2 linked regions of the Xenopus tropicalis genome follow. The protein of the gene in region 1 purifies or fractionates together with the protein of each later gene. This does not show direct contact. Links are inferred from orthologs where the notes say so. Each region holds a gene or a part of one and is shown in the gene's direction. Other genes may lie near its edges.

Evidence for each region. The genes of interacting proteins can lie anywhere in the genome.
Region 2: the proteins of ebna1bp2 (region 1) and brix1 purify together in Homo sapiens (affinity purification with mass spectrometry; 4 studies listed by BioGRID and IntAct, counting the BioPlex papers as one, with this or other methods). This does not show direct contact. The link is inferred for Xenopus tropicalis from reciprocal best matches to the Homo sapiens genes EBNA1BP2 and BRIX1.

What each region holds. Positions count from the first base shown.
Region 1 is NC_030680.2:88,299,921-88,302,309, reverse strand, and holds the end of ebna1bp2 (EBNA1 binding protein 2), read left to right. Parts: intron 1-292; coding exon 293-368; intron 369-1,147; coding exon 1,148-1,238; intron 1,239-1,315; coding exon 1,316-1,487; intron 1,488-1,570; coding exon 1,571-1,621; 3' UTR 1,622-1,889; downstream 1,890-2,389. Other genes in the region: fam183b (protein FAM183A), read right to left, coding at 2,076-2,189. UniProt on the Homo sapiens protein: Required for the processing of the 27S pre-rRNA.
Region 2 is NC_030677.2:199,187,566-199,190,418, forward strand, and holds part of brix1 (ribosome biogenesis protein BRX1 homolog), read left to right. Parts: intron 1-312; coding exon 313-424; intron 425-705; coding exon 706-749; intron 750-2,274; coding exon 2,275-2,345; intron 2,346-2,532; coding exon 2,533-2,582; intron 2,583-2,756; coding exon 2,757-2,830; intron 2,831-2,853. UniProt on the Homo sapiens protein: Required for biogenesis of the 60S ribosomal subunit.

The sequences.
Region 1 (2,389 bases):
ATGTTTTTTAAGGTGTGTGTATTTTGGGGCAAATTTTAGCCTGAAATACCCTTTATGTGCGCAGACAGGTGTATGCAAGTAAAGGAAATGGCAGAAGCAGTGCAAAGTAGGCACCAACATTTTTCTGTCGGCCGATGATCCACCAACTAGTCTTATAACGTGAATGGCAATTTAAAAAAAAAAAAAAAATATTTGCATATATATATATATATATATATATATATATATATATATTATAGTTTACATGTAATGTAATGTTTTGTTTTAATGTGTGTACTGTTTGCTTCCACAGGTGCAAACTGAAGTATTGCAGAAGAGACAGAAAGAGAAATCAGCCATGATGACACAAATTAAAAAATACCAAAAAGGTAAGAGTTTGATTAAATGACAGTTAATTATGTTGTATAATATGACTGCATAGTACAGTTAGGAAAAAGGAATTTCCCTTGCAGCATTTCAGTGTATAATGTTGTCAAAGTGTTTATCTTTCCTGAAAACAAAAAGAAATGTTGTCTAAAGTATGTTAGTTTTACTTTACTTCTTTGATAACTAATAGCACACAGTGTGTTTTGGTAACACTACTTGCCATAGTAATCTACAGGAACTGTGGTGCCTGAAGCCCACATATCGGTGAAAAACTGAAAAGAACATTTTGATGGCCTGGTGTCAGCAGTAGTCAAACTGACTGTAATCTAACGCTATTGGCACTTTTTGTTCTTCAGTGGGGGTATCTGGTTTCTTTCTGGCAAACAGCAGAAGCCTATTTTGCTTTACAGCAGGGCCTTTATTTATTTTCCCAGGAATGCAAAACACTTTCCTATAAGGCAAAGCAGAATCAAATGGATTTTTTTTTTTTTTTTTTTTGAAAGGCTCATAAACATTTACTACACTGCTGCTGCAATACCTGTGGATGGCTTAACAATGAGAGTAAAAGAAATGAGGAGGTTTAATGTAGCCGACGCAAAAAAATACATAGCTTTTAGAAACTACATAAATGCATGATATCTGAGCAACTAACATAATACAAAAATAGCTGTATAAATCTTGTCTAAACAAATATTAGTAATTGTGTGATTACAGTATCTTTGTATACACCTCTTGCTTTGTAATATACTTGAGTAAATGCAAAAGTACAACTCTTTAACAGGTCTTTCAGATAAATTGGATTTTCTGGAAGGGGACCAAACTCAGAAGAAGAACAAGACTGGTGGATCCGCTGCCCAGAAGGCTAAAAAAGGGTATGACACAGACTATATACTAAACTGATAGAATAAGGTGCATTTCTGCCTCTAATCATGCTAAAAATTATGTACAGGCCAAGTGCAAAGCGACGCTACAAGGACCAGAAGTTTGGCTTTGGAGGTAAAAAGAAAGGCTCAAAGAGAAACACAAAAGAAAGTTACAACGATGTATCCGGTTTCCGAGCTAGTGTGGCACATGGAAAGGGACAACGCAGGCCTGGGAAGAAGGGTGGCAAAAATGCTAATGTAAGTAAAGCATATAATAAAAATAATGTTTTACATGCAGTATGGTCCAGGCTTCTAACATAATGTTTCATTGTCTCTTGTAGAAAAGACCAGGTAAAAAAGTAAGACAGAAAATGAAGAGCAAAACCAGATGAACAGAAGAAATGACATAATGGAATGATGACCTTTTTCTCCAACCCAGTTCACTGCTACATCCATACTAGCAGCAAATTGCTTGCTACCTAGAGACTGTACAGACCTCCAACAAAGCCATCTTCTTATGGAAATTTGGAGAGATGCAGCTGTAAACTTTGCATTTGTTTTTAATTCTGCCATAATGCTGAAAACTGGCATTAAATATGGCTAGGTTGTGTGTGCCAAGGTTTTGAGAAAAAACTGCAACAATAAACGATGTACAATGCCGTAATTTTTTTTATTGCAGGTGATTACATTAATAGGTGCTGTTATTAATTACAACATAGTTTGAATTACAGAGCAGCACATCCCGATCAACTGACATTTGTACTTCGCAATACTGGTTTTAGGGAAACTAGGAGAATGATCATCTTCAGCCTTGCAGCGTCTAAACATCGCTGTGTGACTTTTCCTCTACTGAATATTTTCGCTTTGTTCTTTAAGGCGCCATGCTGTCTCCATATATTTCGTGATTTCTGTTTTCTCTCGAAAGAAGTGTAAGCGTCTATCTGTTCGATCACTGGTTATCTGACCAAAAGTAAAAATTGTTGAATGTTACATGTATTTCTCATACATACTGTTGCTGGACACAGGAAAATAATTTCTGTTAACTTGGATGCAAGACACTCTCAGTAGAAAAGTAAGCCCAAATGAATGAGCTGAGGTGGGTGGGTATAATTTCTACTTAAGTTGATGCTATACTAAAACTACAAGAAGCTGTGCTGAGG
Region 2 (2,853 bases), on another chromosome or scaffold:
TGCCTTTCCTGGCCCCAGGGGGGTTGCACCATAACTTGCACTGAAACCACTACACTGTGTTACCTGTATCTGTTCCCTGGTGGGAATGGCAGTGGGTAGGTCACTGAGTGCTGTGGCGTATTGTACCTTTAGTGCCATGAGCTGCTCATTTACTTTGGCATCCTGGCAATATAGGAGGTGCAAGGAAAAAAGCTTCCCCTACACCCCCCATGCTTGGACATAAGACACGCGAGGCGCCTCAGGGGGTAAGTTTGCCCGGTGCACACAGAGAGAGGGGCTAAAGGACTTGTGCTTTGTCTTATTTCTTCTCAGGGCAAATGGAAGAACAAAGAGAGGGTGCTCATATTCTCTTCCCGTGGCATCAATTTCCGAACCAGGCATTTAATGCAGGACCTCCGGACATTAATGCCCCACACAAAAGCAGGTGGGAGTAGTGCAGCCCCTATTTGTTTGTCTGTCTGTCTGTGTCTCTCTCTCTCTCTCTCTAAATATATATCTAATACCTATATGCCCTAATGGAAGAAGCACAGCCTCTGTCTGTCTCTTTATGTCCCTAAGTAGCTTTATACAAGGCCTTGTACCTTTGCATTTTCTTTGTCCCATAACAACCAGTAAGATGCTTGTCTTCATTCTACTAACTGCTTTAGATCAGTAAATGTCAATTTTGCTAATTTTGCTCCTTGATTTTCCCCCTACTCTCTGCAGAAACAAAAATGGACCGTAAGGACAAGCTGTTTGTAGTAAATGAGGTGAGTAACCTGCCAGTCATTAATGTTTCTGCTTCTACTTGGCGTTAGGGTTACTGGGTAGAACCATCTCTCTCTTCTATACCTGCTATCCCACAGCCCCAGTCCCTTCCCAGAGGCTATTATCCCCCCACTGCTACTATAGGCACCATCTCTCCCTACTATACCTGCTATCCCACAGCCCCAGTCCCTTCCCAGAGGCTATTATCCCACTGCTACTATAGGCACCATCTCTCCCTACTATACCTGCTATCCCACAGCCACAGTCCCTTCCCAGAGGATATTATCCCCCCACTGCTACTATAGGCACCATCTCTCCCTACTATACCTGCTATCCCACAGCCACAGTCCCTTCCCAGAGGCTATTATCCCCCCACTGCTACTATAGGCACCATCTCTCCCTACTATACCTGCTATCCCACAGCCCCTGTCCCTTCCCAGAGGCTATTATCTCCCACTGCTACTATAGGCACCATCTCTCCCTACTATACCTGCTATCCCACAGCCCCAGTCCCTTCCCAGAGGCTATTATCCCACTGCTACTATAGGCACCATCTCTCCCTACTATACCTGCTATCCCACAGCCACAGTCCCTTCCCAGAGGATATTATCCCCCCACTGCTACTATAGGCACCATCTCTCCCTACTATACCTGCTATCCCACAGCCCCAGTCCCTTCCCAGAGGCTATTATCCCCCCACTGCTACTATAGGCACCACCTCTTCCTACTATACCTGCTATCCCACAGCCACAGTCCCTTCCCAGAGGCTATTATCCCCCCACTGCTACTATAGGCACCATTTCTCCCTACTATACCTGCTATCCCACAGCCACAGTCCCTTCCCAGAGGCTATTATCCCCCCACTGCTACTATAGGCACCATTTCTCCCTACTATACCTGCTATCCCACAGCCCCAGTCCCTTCCCAGGGGCTATTATCCCCCCACTGCTATTATAGGCACCATCTCTCTCTACTATACCTGCTATCCCACAGCCACAGTCCCTTCCCAGAGGCTATTATCCCCCCACTGCTACTATAGGCACCATCTCTCCCTACTATACCTGCTATCCCACAGCCCCAGTCCCTTCCCAGAGGCTATTATCCCACTGCTACTATAGGCACCATCTCTCCCTATTATACCTGCTATCCCGCAGCCCCAGTCCCTTCCCAGAGGCTATTATCCCCCCATTGCTACTATAGGCACCATTTATCCCTACTATACCTGCTATCCCACAGCCCCAGTCCCTTCCCAGGGGCTATTATCCCCCCATTGCTACTATAGGCACCATTTATCCCTACTATACCTGCTATCCAGTTAGTCTCTTGCTAGTCAAATACTGCATAGCAAAAACTTGCAGGTAACAAGTGGGACACTTAGGAGATTTAATGCCATATTTGGGAGACTCATAGTATGTTCTAATTGCCCACAGCCCAGGATGTAATATCAGGTTAGAGTAGAAACCAGGTTACTGGCCTGTTTTAGGGACTTGTTCCTGATTTCTTCATTTGCTTTCTCCTTGTTTCTAGGTCTGTGAAATGAAGAACTGCAATAAGTGCATCTATTTTGAAGCCAAGAAGAAGCAGGATCTGTATATGTGGTAATGAACAAGCAGATTCTTATTTGAGCGTGCAGGTTACTAGTGTGGTGTGTAGCTGTATGTACAAATGTTTATGCCTGGCGATGTGTATAGCCTGTGGGCGATGGCTATAAATGCCACATTCTAAGCCTTGATAGTAACCTAGAATAAGTAGATGTGTGTGTCTAAAATGTTTCTTTCCTTGCAGGTTATCCAACTCCCCCGAGGGTCCCTCTGCTAAGTTCTTGGTTCAGAATAGTAAGTTAATCCTATAGTAGTTGCTGCTCTGTGCCCTGTGTAGCTGATAAAGATCTCATTGTTCCTCTGCATTGGTTTTTGTTGCCCTGTGAATTTTAGTGGTTGGTTGAAAGCTGGGAGCTGTTGTTTTGAGTATATTCAGGTGCTAACCCATGATGCCTTTCATTTTTGCAGTTCACACACTGGCAGAACTGAAGATGTCTGGGAACTGCCTGAAAGGCTCGCGGCCGATTCTCTCCTTTGATCCGGTCAGTAGACTGATTGGCAGCAC